Callithrix jacchus: one gene and its partners. The protein of the gene in region 1 interacts with the protein of each later gene in a biochemical or structural test. Links are inferred from orthologs where the notes say so. Each region holds a gene or a part of one and is shown in the gene's direction. Other genes may lie near its edges.

What was found.
Region 2: the proteins of BLNK (region 1) and GRB2 form a complex in vitro, tested with the Homo sapiens proteins (3 studies listed by BioGRID and IntAct, with this or other methods). The link is inferred for Callithrix jacchus from reciprocal best matches to the Homo sapiens genes BLNK and GRB2.
Region 3: the proteins of BLNK (region 1) and CD79A form a complex in vitro, tested with the Homo sapiens proteins (2 studies listed by BioGRID). The link is inferred for Callithrix jacchus from reciprocal best matches to the Homo sapiens genes BLNK and CD79A.

Annotation. Positions count from the first base shown.
Region 1 is NC_133513.1:89,104,616-89,108,835, reverse strand, and holds the start of BLNK (B-cell linker protein), read left to right. Parts: upstream 1-1,276; 5' UTR 1,277-1,396; coding exon of another isoform or gene 1,397-1,443; intron 1,444-4,220. Other genes in the region: uncharacterized protein LOC118146130, read right to left, coding at 1-23, 365-394. UniProt on the Homo sapiens protein: Functions as a central linker protein, downstream of the B-cell receptor (BCR), bridging the SYK kinase to a multitude of signaling pathways and regulating biological outcomes of B-cell function and development.
Region 2 is NC_133506.1:131,303,753-131,308,141, reverse strand, and holds the start of GRB2 (growth factor receptor-bound protein 2), read left to right. Parts: upstream 1-1,548; 5' UTR 1,549-1,762; intron 1,763-4,389. UniProt on the Homo sapiens protein: Non-enzymatic adapter protein that plays a pivotal role in precisely regulated signaling cascades from cell surface receptors to cellular responses, including signaling transduction and gene expression.
Region 3 is NC_133523.1:36,905,033-36,909,224, forward strand, and holds the start of CD79A (B-cell antigen receptor complex-associated protein alpha chain), read left to right. Parts: upstream 1-1,351; 5' UTR 1,352-1,376; coding exon 1,377-1,455; intron 1,456-3,045; coding exon 3,046-3,342; intron 3,343-3,566; coding exon 3,567-3,685; intron 3,686-4,192. UniProt on the Homo sapiens protein: Required in cooperation with CD79B for initiation of the signal transduction cascade activated by binding of antigen to the B-cell antigen receptor complex (BCR) which leads to internalization of the complex, trafficking to late endosomes and antigen presentation.

The DNA of each region.
Region 1 (4,220 bases):
CCATCTTCAGCCAGATCTTGGATCTGTAACAGGAGGGGTAACTGGGAGCCCTTTGCTTTGTCCTGCTGTGTATTCTTCGGACCCAGGAGAAGACTGGTTCCCTTGATAAATGTTGGAAATGTGCACTTTATTCCACAAGGGTGAGCAGGACATTCTAGATGGCTACAGGAAAGTGTGCCTAGGTACAAAAAGTCCTTCCCATTTTCTTCCTCCCTGACCCTAGACTGTAGTCTGCTCTCTAAACAACAGATAAATCAGCATTTTTCAGATCAGGCAGAAGGAAATGTAAAGTCTTCCAGGAGGGAAGTAGAGTTCTCTGAAGGGTTCAGCCCCTACAGGTATGGTTCCTTCCTCCCAGCCTCACCTCATCTGTCTGGGCTTGAGATGGCCCCATGTCTGATGTGTCACTGGGTCTGATAAGCAAGCTGTGGACAGGGCAGGAAGAGGCAAACACAAGGAGGGGAGTGGCATTCTGCTTTTAGAAGGACTTCAGAATGGCCTGATGTCAGAATTGCATTGTTGGGAAATTGCTAGATTTGTTCTCAGCTGACTTTTGGGTACATCCTGGTTTGTTTGAAAGTTATCAGCAAGGTAACTCCTGACTCTAACAGTTAGTAAGGAGGCTGCACATCTTATGATGGAGATCATCTACCCTTTCCTGGGTCACCCATCCCTACCCCCAGATGAACAGATAATTGCCCATTCCATTTTAAATAGAGCTCCAGAAAAAGATAGACTCTAACTCTCTGTGTAAACTGTACCACCATGTCACTGCCCTCCTGATATTTATTTTTAAATATATTGCCGGCAAAGAGTAGGGGGAGGAAAAAACACAAAAACGCCATTTTTATATAATGATTCTATAAGTAGAAAAAGCTTATCCATGACTTTATGCAAATAAGCAGAAAATCTCCAGGAGATGTTCAGATAGAATTGATTACTCTGCTTTTCCTTGAGCCCAGGAAGTTCCCAGTCACAGCACGCACCTGCTGGAAACAGACTACATGTATTTGGGACAAACAGGAAGTCGTGATCAGCCAGAAGCTTGTCCCAACCTGGTTACAAATCTGATTATAAAAGAAAGCAGCTGGAAAGAAATCTGCATGCCCAATAGGTTTCACTATTAAAGTTTACACAACGTGGAGTAATCAACAAGCTGGCTGGCTATCCAGATCACATGATTATGTAGAAACATGAAACTTGACTATGTGCTCGGGCAAGTTTTACTTCTCCCTAGAGCAGGGGTGTTTGCCAGCAGCCTGCGCTCTCAGAAATCAGACTCAAGTGGCCGGAACCCTTGAGACCAGGGACTTGACATGCTGCTCCCTAGGAGGGCCAGGAACTGCTGACGTGACCACTGGACAGTTATTTGTGTCTCTTACAATTACCAAACAGAATGGACAAGCTTAATAAAATAACCATCCCCGCCAGTCAGAAGTTGAGGTAAGATTTCCCCCACCCAATACTTATCCTTCTTCACCTCCTTCTCCCCCTGCCATGCTCTTATGGCGTCTCAGAAATATTGAAATCCTGGAATGCTTTGCTAGTCTTCAGTGGGTGGCACTTGCCATAGGGAAGTGGACTGAGCTTTTAGGGAAAGCATTGGGTGGCACTCACTATAGGAAGTGGACTGAGTTCTTTAAAAATGTGTAGGAGCAAGAGAGATTTGCTTTAGCTGGCCCTTACAATAAAGTGTAAAGCTCTGGAAAGATAATAAAACAGAAATGCCAAGGGCTTAGATTCTACGGAAGGTCAGCTTTCAGAGTCTGAATGCAACCAACTTTCTAAGGAAGGGTTTCTCTAAACTGAATCCTCACCCATTTTATCGCAGGTTGCTATTTAATTTTAAGGATAGCTGTAATCATTTGTTATTCATTGTTTTACTCTCTCATTTATTTTGTGGGTGTATATTATGAGTGTGCTTGGGGGGATTAGATCTGTCTTTCCAACGCCCTCATGTTAATGTAACAATGATCTGTAACAAACCTCTTAGAAAGAATAAACCAGAAGCGGCCCCACAAGCGTGAGTCAAGGAGCTATGGAAAAGACAACTTCCCCAAATTTTGCTTTTGAAGGTCTTCTTTTTGTCTCATTGTAATGGCGTCGTGGCTTTTGGAGACCGAAACTTTTAAATTTCAGGGAGTGTTTTATATTCTGACTACTGTTGGCACTTAGCCAGACGTTCAGGGGATGATGTGACATGTGTAGCAGACAAGTAATCACAGATAACACGGAGCCAGAGAATCGAAGCTTTTGAGACAACATTTAAGAGCGAGTCTGGAATTGGCAGAGGGACAGCCTTTCATAGTAGAATACAAGTCCTATGTCTAGGAGGTGCTTAGTAGGAGGTAATATGAAATGAACTGATGATCTGGGATCAATAGGCAGCATTGACTGCGTTCAACCATTTCATGCACGGGCTGAGTGCTGCTGAGTGATCAGCACTGATGGGACAAGAAGGCACTTCAGTCTTGCCCTTGGTCTCAAATAGCTACACCCTCATGAGGGGCAGGGGTGATACAATGGAAGCTGTAAGTGACTGAAAGAATGTAAGAATAGACTTAAAGTAGCAGGAGGAGATTTCATAGAGAAGATACTTTAGAGGTGGGCTTTGAGAGGTGAGTAAAATGATAAACGAGCTGGAGAATTGGAGGAAACATGTTATGTGCTGGGAGGAAGGAAATACAGAAGTGGTCACTTGAAGCTTAACACAAGTATGGTCCATATATGGGATGATGAGGAGAGTTTTCTGTCCAACAGAAGCTATAGAGTTGGGCATGTGGAACCCAAAGGTCCTGGTATGATTGGACACATAGGGTGGGTCTACGTTGCAAAGGATGGTGAGGGCCCTAACCATAGGGAGTTGAAGAACAGGTTACGCTGTTAGTGATGTCGTGACAGCAGGCTTAAAGGAGGCCGGTAGGATGCGTTGGAGTGGAAGGGTCACTGGAGGCAGGGATCTGGTGGAAGGGAGAAGCACTTAAGTAACCCAAGCATCCAGGGTGGTAGGCCTGGACTTGAGACACAGCATGAGAAGGAAGAGGGAAGGAGAGGAAGAAAGACATGCAAAGAAACTAGGCACTCTCCTCTCAAATGAGCAGGAGGGTTCCAAATTTTTTTTAGACATATTCCATAATGAAGAACTATACAGAAATGTAGAACCTCTTTCAGGGAATCCAGATGAGAATTTAAATAAAGGTACTAGAACTTAAATCTTTTTATGATTCCTCCCTTTGAGACAAAGTCCAGCTTGATCACAGAGCAGTTGATGGGCAATATACGACCACAGATTATGGGATAGAAAACCAAAATTATACCATAGATAATCGTATGGTACACTTATCTGCTTACATAAAAGTAACATTTTTCCTACTTGATTACTCAGTCGTCTTTATAGAATCGTCCTGTTTTGGTAAATGTACACTGTTGACGTGGAACTTTTCAAAGAAATGAAATTGTAAATTCAGTGGGCTCAAAGGGCCATCTTAATTATTTTTCGTAATTAGATGGATGAGATGGCAAGGAGTTGATAGATGAAATACCTACCTCCTGTGATTTGTGTCCTCTGTCCTGATTGGCTGACGTAAATTCTGAAGGTTGATTAACCATGTAATTATTTGGTACCAGATGACAGTAAAAGTGGACAGTTATGTTTACACTTTTAGGCTTAGGTGAGAATTTGCTCAAATCCTTAGCCACAAAAACAGAAAGACAGTGAGTCTTTCTGAAATATAGGGGACTGAAAGGAATGACCTTGATCCAGGGAATGTATTCTCAGGACTGAAAAGAGAGTGGAGCAGAAAGTATTGCTAGGAGGAGAGGGAAAGTAGAGTCATCCAAGGGAGGGAGGGCATGCAGGATTGGAAGGAAATGAGGAATTCTTTTTTTTTTTTTTTTTAATTTTTTATTGGATTATAGGTTTTGGGGTACATGAGCAGAGCATGCAAGACAGTTGCGTAGGTACACACATGGCAGTGTGCTTTGCTTTTCTTCTCCCCTTCACCCACAGAGAGATGCAAATCAAAACCACATTGAGATACCATCTCACGCCAGTTAGAATGGCGATCATTAAAAAATCTGGAGACAACAGATGCTGGAGAGGATGTGGAGAAAAAGGAACACTTTTACACTGTTGGTGGGAGTGTAAATTAGTTCAACCATTGTGGAAGACAGTGTGGCGATTCCTCAAGGCCTTAGAAATAGAAATTCCATTTGACCCA
Region 2 (4,389 bases), on another chromosome or scaffold:
ACTGGATCCCTCCTCAGCCATCCCTATGTGTAGTTCAGTGGCACTTGGGGTCAACTGCTTGTCTTACAGACTAGGAAACTAGATTACAAAGCACTGAAAGCAGAGGCTTTATCTGGTTGGTCATTTATCCTGCAAAGCCCCTTGCATACAGGTGATGCTCAATAAAAACTTGGTGAAAGAACATTTCAACATTTCATTTTCTGTGTTTCTTTCTTTCTTTTTTGAGACGGAGTTTCGCTCTTGTTACCCAGGCTGGAGTGTAATGGCACGATCTCGGCTCAAGGCAACCTCTGTCTCCTGGGTTCAGGCAATTCTCCTGCCTCAGCCTCCTGAGTAGCTGGGATTACAGGCATGCACCACCATGCCCAGCTAATTTTTTGTATTTTTAGTAGAGACAGGGTTTCACCATGTTGACCAGGATGGTCTCGATCTCTTGACCTCATGATCCACCCGCCTCGGCCTCCCAAAGTGCCGGGATTACAGGCTTGAGCCACCGTGCCCGGCTCATTTTCTGTGTTTCAATGGGCTTGTTTCCTCTGTACAATCAGATGCTTGGTTATTCTCATCTCAACGCTATTTTTTTGGCTTCCAGAAGACACATTAACACTAGGTGTGTTCTGTTCTATCCTTTAATTGGAAAGAGCTTTGATAACTGAAAAACAAGAATTATTTACCGAAGCCTCATCTTCTGCCACTCCCCCATACTCACCGGCCTCATACAGGAATTGAACTACTTAGCACTGCACAGCACACGACTTTCACGCCTCCGTTCCGCTGTACTTAGCCTCTGTACTTACGTGCCATTCCCTTTCCCTGAAATGCCCTTACTCTGGCTTCTCTGCCTGGCAAACTCCTACTCATCCCCCAAGACTCAGCTTAGACATCGCCGCATCACCTCTGTAAAGGCTCTTTTGCAATGGGCAGAGTAGCCATTCTTCTTCCATCTTTTTAGCTTTCTCAGCAAACTCCAAATAACAGTACTTATGGCATTATTTGTTTATTTTTCTCTGCTTCCCTAGACCGTAAATTCCTTAAGGACCAGGATTTCTGTTCTATATCCAGCACAGTGTTCAGCCTATATTAGGCACATAATTAAATAAATGAGTAAACAAACCCACCAATCATTCAACATTGCAGAGTTTGTACGGATTCTCAAATATTTCAAGACCTGGTCTTCTGTTTGGAGTGCTTCAGGCTGGAAACTCTCTTCCTCCCCCCAGCCCCCATCCATATCCAATTGCCTTGGTTTGGTAGAGGAGAAAAGAAAGTGATTAGACGGGGTAAGAATTTATTCCTTCAGGACTAAGCTGTTATTTACCCGCTCTGGTACCGAGAGGGTTACGGCGACCCAGGGGCGGAGCCGTGACGAGGCCACCTGCTGCGGGCGGTCTGGCGCATGCGCCCTGGGGCCTAGCTAGTCACTACCTGCCGGAGCCCGGCCCAGGAGGAGCGCTTGCGCTTTGGGCGTTTTCCGCCGGGGGAAGTCTCGCGGGGGCGGGGCGGGGCGGGGCCTCGTGGAGAAGTTCTCGCGGGACACCCACGGCGAGCGGAAGCGAGGCGGCTCTGCTGCTTCGGCGACCGGGCGGCGGCGGCGGCGGCGGCGGCGGCTGTGGCTGAGGCTGTGTCTGTGTCTGTTTCTGTGTCTGTGACCGTGACGGCGGCGGGAGCAAGCGCCGCCCTCGCGGAGCAGCCTCGGGGTCGGCGGCCGCTCTCAGCGTTGAGGTGGGTCAGGCCCGACGCGGAGCGGACTAGCTGCGCCACGGTGAGTGCGGGCGGCTGCGCTCGGCGCCGCTCCTGTGTCTCTTCCTCTCCGCTCTGCGACGGGAGTGGGCCCTGGGGGAACCGGGACCCCGGCCCTTGGGGTCGGGTCGGGGCGGCGAAGCTCGGGACGCGGAGTGGAATGCCCAAGGCTCTGGACTCTGCGTTTCCCCTTTTGGGGCGCTTCCTTCCTGGGGAACGTCCTCCTCCGGCTCTCGGCTGTCTGTGCAGTGTCCGGGAGCCCGGGGGTAGAAGTCGGGGCTCCCTCGTGAAGTCCCCTGCCTTCGTCGGAAGGGTTTGCACGAAAGGGGCCTGGGAAGCCCGGAAGGGCAAAACCCCGACTGAGTCAGTCCGCCCGATCCCGGCGGCGGGGGACTTGGTGTGGGCTGCAGCTGTGGTGATTGATGCGCCTCCGACCTGCATGACAACCACGTCACCATCTCTTGGCGTCTTTGGGCTTAATTTTGTGCGGGAATCCACGGTGGGGTAGAACGTTCATCTCCCCGGGGGAGATGTCTTTATTCTGAGACTTAAAAAAAAATTATTTGAAAAATTAAGCAGCAGCAGGTTGGACTGCACCGAGGAAACATTGCGGCGAGAGCGGGCGCTGGTAATTTTCATTTGCAGCGCGCCCTCTCTGTGATTGTAAACCACATATGAGTTATGGCTTGTTTGGAAAGTTTTTCAAGCCTGGCTTCAAAGGCTATGAAAGTGCAGTTTGCAGAGGACTGAAGTGCATTTGAGGTGTGTCTCTTCTTGATGCTGTTGACTTTCAGAAATGTCAGACACATGAGAGAAATCAGCATTAGTCCCTGGCTTTCTTAACCCCTCTTTCACTCAGTACTTCTCCAGTTATTTCCTTACCTCTCTATCTACTTCTGTCCATTCCACTAGGGACAAGAAGTGCTTGTGTAATGCAAGTCATTTGCCCCTTCCTTCCCCCACCCCCCTCTTTTTTTTTTCTAATCTACTTCCCCTTCCTCCTTGGTAGTCCCCACTCTGGCGTAATTTTTCGAGGTTTCTTCCCTTTCGCACTGTTAGTTTTCTCTGATTTCAAGATTCCGTCCTTTTTCTCGGGAAGAGATCCTCTTTCCTGCTTTGGTGCCTTTACTTTTGCGCTTTCCCCTGCGTTCGCTAGTCAGCCAGAAGGGTTGCTAGAGAGCCATTGGAGGCTGAGGTTCCCCCGCTGAGAAGGGGGTGGGGGGCTCAAAAGATTGAATTCAGCCGGGTGCGGTGGCTCCCGCCTGTAATCCCAGCACTTTGTCAAGAGATCCAGACCATCCTGGCCAACATGGTGAAATCCCGCCTGTACTAAAAATAAAAAAATTACCTGGGTGTGGTGGCGCGCGCCTGTAGTCCCAGCTACTCGAGGCTGAGGCAGAAAAATCGCTTCAACCCGGGAGACGGAGATTGCAGTGAGCTCAGATCGCACCACTGCACTTCAGCCTGGCGACAGAGCGAGACTCCGTCTCAAAAAAAAGATTGAATTAATCCCTAAGAATTCAGTCCTGCCACTAGGTTACAAGTGTGGTTTGTTTGTTGTTTTGTGTTTTAGTTTTTTAAGATTATGCTTTTGTACCTATTTATGCTTTCTTCCAGTATGTCTTTATAATAGTAAGGAATATTGGGTCAGCTCAGGGCTTATGTGACTTTTTGACTTTTAGTGGGGGGTGTTAATGTTAAAAAGTGAAGGTCAACTATAAGTCTATATTAGGTTAAAATAGTCTGAAAAATGTAAGAGGCTAGAACTGATTTAGACCATCGAATTAGTTGAAGCCTGCGCGTTGTAGTAGTACTAATTTATTCTTTGTTAGGCTTTTAGTTAAAAATCAGGGATCTTTTTTCTGCATCTATTATAACTGGCCTTCGTTGTTGTTTTTGACAAAGAAATCTCTATTTGCTCCTTCCCAAGTTCAAAATGTTCCCAATCTCAAGATTTAAAAGAGTTAATTCTTATGATCAGCTATCTCCTAGTATGTATGTATGTATGTATGTATTTATTTATTTATCTATCTGAGACGAGTCTCACTCTTGCACAGGCTGGAGTGAGTGGTGCTGAGGATCTCGGTTCACTGCAGCCTCCACCTCCTGGGTTCAAGCACTCTTGTGCCTCACCTTCCCAAGTAGCTAGGATTACAGGCTCTCACCACCACACCTGGCTAATTTTTGTATTTGGTGGAGACGGGGTTTCACCATGTTGGCCGCGCTGGTCTCGAACTCCTAACCTCAAGTGATCTGCCTGCCTCAGCCTCCCTAAGTACTGAAATTACAGGTGTGAGCTCCTGTGCGGAGCCTAAACTCAGACATTTAAATGTTTGAGGCACTTAACTTGTCAGCAAGTTATTCCGATTTGAGAGGTTTGCTGGGTTTTAAGTACTACCAGTTGCTGGTACTTAGAGATTCTTTTCAGTAATTCCTGTTATGTTGCATATTGTGCATTGGAGTTCTAATTGTTGCATAGAACAGAAGAGCAAAGGATTTTGGAGAAAGGAAGTAATACAGAATAGAGTCACCATGCTCTCCTGAGAGAAATTAATTCTTAACTGCTTAATTCAGAGGAAGTCTCCGCCATTACCAAGTGGCTTTTGAGAGTGTATTTTTGTGTGTGTGTCAAAGTTGCCTTTTTCCCAG
Region 3 (4,192 bases), on another chromosome or scaffold:
GCTGGGATTACAGGCATGAGCCACCGCACCCAGCCTGTTTTTCTAAAAAAAAAAAAAAAAAAAAAAAGAATTCTGCCAGGCACAGTGGCTCACGCCTGTAATCCCAGCACTTTGGGAGGCAAAGGTGGGCAGATCACAAGGTCAAAAGATCAAGACCATCCTGGCCAACATGGTGAAACCCTGTCTCTACTAAAAATACAAATATTAGCTGGGTGTGGTGGTGCGGGCCTGTAGTCCCAGCTACTCAGGAGACTGAGGCAGGAGAATCGCTTGAACCCAGGAGGCGGAGGTTTCCATAAGCAGAGATTGCACCACTGCTCTCCAGCCTGGTGACAGAGCGAGACTCGGTCTCAAAAAAAAGAATTCCAGTAATGAGCTGATCATGGGTCTAACTCCTTGAATACCGGGAACAAACACCATGTCATATCACATAATGAGACAGGGAGACATTCTGATCCCCATCTCAGAGACAAAAAATGCCAAGGCTGGAAGGATCAAACTGCCCACCTTGTCACATGTTAGCCACGGGGCAGCCTGCCTTACTGATTCTTCATGAGCATTTATAGTGACTAGCATTTACTGAGCACCTATTATGTGCCATTTCTGTGCACCCAGCAACCCCTTTAAGTCCTTGTTTCTTTTTTTTTTCTTTTTGAGATGGAGTCTTGCTCTGTTACCCAGGCTGGAGTGCAATGGCACCATCTCAGCTCACTGCAACCTCAGTCTCCCAAGTTCAAGTGATTCTCCTGCCTCAGCCTCCTGAGTAGCTAGGATTACAGGCACCCACCATGCCCAGCTAATTTTTGTGTTTTTTGGTAGAGATGGGAGTTTCACCATATTGTTCAGGCTGGTCTTGAACTCCTGACCTCGTGATCAGCCTGCCTCGACCTCCCAAAGTGCCGGGATTACAGACGTGAGCCACCGCGCCCAGCCTTAAGTCATTGTTTCTAATCCCAAGAAGCAAGGAAATGGCGTCAGGGAAGGAACAAGGTTTGCCCAAGGTCAGGCAGGGGCAGAGGTCAAGCTCAGAACCCTCACCTGCCCAGAGCACGTGACCAGGACTCAGGCTCTCTAGGCTTCCTTCCAAAGGCTCAGCAGTGATGACCCAGCCCTTGAACCAGCCTCTACCCCTACCCAGGCAGCCACCTCTCAGGGGAATTGTGGCCACCGCAGGTGCAGGGAGCACTTCCTCTCTACTCATGGCCTGAAGCATACCCGGCAGGGGCTGTCCCCAGGCCCAACGAGCAAAGGACCCAGCAGCGAGGACCACTAGAGCCCATCTCCGGGGGGCTGGGCAGGAAATAGGGTGGGGTTTGGGTAGGGAGCTGGTACCCCAGGACTGCTGCAGCTCAAACTAACGCATCGACCGGGAGAAGATGCCTGGGGGTCTCGGAGTCCTCCAAGCTCTGCCTGCCTCCATATTCCTCCTCTTCCTGCTGTCTGCTGCCTACCTGGGTATGTGGCCAATGGGCAGGAACTGGGGGGAGGAGGGGGAAGCCGTGGAGGCTGCAGAGAGGGCACAGGCAGCGGGAAGGGGGCTCAGGAGAGGGGAATAGGAGGCAGAGAGCACAGAGCCAGGGAAGACACCTGTAGAAATCGGGTCTGTTCCATGCTGGGCAAAGATGCGGCTGGAGAGAGCCCAGCGAAGGAAAATGGGGGTCCAGAGCCCCACGGAGGGAGGCAGGAGCAAGCGTCACCTCCCCCACCTCCTGTAAAAGAAGGAACTAAAGCCGCTCTTGACTGAGCACCAGGGCTGCAGGCAGGAAGGGCAGTGGGGCTAGCAGCGTTCAGTGTCTGACAAGGGGAGAAAAACCTTTCTCTGCCTTAAACCTCAGGCGCCACCCTGTGTTGGGAGCCCCTTCTCAGCACTGGGGGATCTGATGCCTCATGGACCCCCCTTGCCCACCCAAGGCCAGCGCGTGGCCATGCTACCCCAGGAGCTCAGAGGTTTCTCGGTTTCTCAGGGTAACTGGAGTTCCCACCTGAGTCCTAAGCCCATGCCAACGAGGGTGCTTGGCCCCTCTCCCTACCTCTTCTTCCTTCTCTTTTCCCCACCTCCCTCCTCCGACTGCTTCCAGAAGAAGAGGCCGGCCATGTGGGTGGCCTGGCTGAGATCTGGGGCTTCCCAGAGGAGCCCCGGATTGGACGCTGCAGTCAGCCTGAGCCACCCCGACTCAGACACCCACAACCTCCACCCTGCTGAGGGCGTTCACTCACCACCAGCCCAGCCCAAGGACTGAACTCACCCCTGACCCTGAAGTTGAAACATACAAGTTACAGAGAATGAGGGACGGGCACAGGGTCACAGGCCAGGGCAGGCCACAGATAGGCTCCTCAGCCCAGGCAGGAAGAGGCCAGGGAGCCAGGAGTTTGAACCCAGTGCCACTCCTGATTGCCTGGTGATGCTGGCAACTCGCCTGCCCTCCCTGGGCCTCAGTCATCCCTCCCGTAAAGTGGGGTTAAGGAAAGAACCTACTGCTAGGGTTCTGTGAGGATTACCAAGAAAAAGCACCAGGTGCAGAGTCTCACTGAGGCTGGGGTGGGAAAATGGACTGGGAAGGCTGTGGGAGGAGGGGATGCCTGCCTGCTTCTGGAAAGAGCTGTCTGGACGCAGCCTCCAGTTCCTAGAACAAACATCCAAAAGCCAGTGAGTTCTCAGGCCAGAGCACAAAGTGGGTATGCAGGAGGGGGGCAGGAGATGGCACTGCAGAGGTGACAAGGGCCTCCCAGGGGTCTCACTATCCCAGAGAGTCTCATTCTCCTCCCCCAGGATGTCCTCACCCACCCCAACCCCTGTGTCCTCTCTCCTTTCCCAGGGGCATCTTCACTCTCCTGCATCCGCCTCTCCCCAAGATGCATCAGCCCCTCTCAGGGGCTCTCCCTCCTCCTCCAGACCCAGGAGAGTCCTCGCCCTCCTCCCCTCCCCCCATGAGTGTCCTCACCCTCCTCCCCACCCCTCCCAGGAGTGCTGGAGCTGTAAGGGCAGGGCTGCGGGCCTGTGTCGCCATGCCCAGTCCCTGACCCACCTACCCTGCCTCTCCGCAGGCCCTGGGTGCCAGGCCCTGTGGGTGCACAAGGGCCCAACATCGTTGATGGCAAGCCTGGGGGAAGAGGCCCACCTACAGTGCCTTCACAATGGCAGTAACACCAACGTCACCTGGTGGCGTGTCCTCCACGGCAACTACACGTGGCCCCCGGTGTTCGTCGGCCTGGGCCAGGGTGTCAACGGTACGCTGACCATCCAGAACGTGAACAAGAGCCACGGAGGCATATACATGTGCCGTGTCCAGGAGGGCAACAAGCCATACCAGCAGTCCTGCGGCACCTACCTCCGCGTGCGCCGTGAGTGGCCTGGCCCTGGCCCCTACCCCCACTCTCCCGCTGGGGACACTCAGTTTATCTTTGAAGTGTGGAGGGGATATACCCAGTACCTTCTTTGTGGGTTTCAAACTGGCTCGGACGAGGGACTGACGATCTCCTCTGCAGAGTGGGGATTTCGGGGGGCCCGGGGCCTTGCAGAGGTTGGGCAGATGTGCCAGGGCTTTAAGCTTCCTACCTCCTTGCAGACCCGCCCCCCAGGCCCTTCCTGGACATGGGGGAGGGCACCAAGAACCGCATCATCACAGCCGAGGGGATTATCCTCCTGTTCTGCGCAGTGGTGCCTGGAACGCTGCTGCTGTTCAGGGTGAGTCTGCTGGGACCCCCGAGTTGGCGGGTAAGGGCCTGGGCTGAAGGACTCCCAATGCCCAGGTGGCCCTCTAGAGCCTAAAGTTCTCCATCCAAAACTTGGAAGAAGAAAGCACCCATTGCACAGGAGCTGTGGAAGTTAAATGAATGAATATAAAGAAGGGACTTGGGCCGGACATGGTGGCTCACACCTGTAATCCCAACACACTGGGAGGCCAAGGCGGAAGGATCACTTGTGGTCAGGGGTTCGAGACTAGCCTGAACAATATGGCGAAACCCCGTCTCTACTAAAAAAAATTCAAAAATAACCGGGTGTGGTGGCGGGTGCTTGTAATCCCAGCTACTCCAGAGGCTAAGGCAGGAGAATTGCTTGAACACAGGAGGCAGAGGTTGCGGTGAGCCGAGATTGTGCTATTACACTCCGGCCTGGAGGACAAGAACAATACTCTATCTCAAAAAAAAAAAAAAAAAAAAAGGGACTCGAACTGGCGCTGGGCCCAGGGGG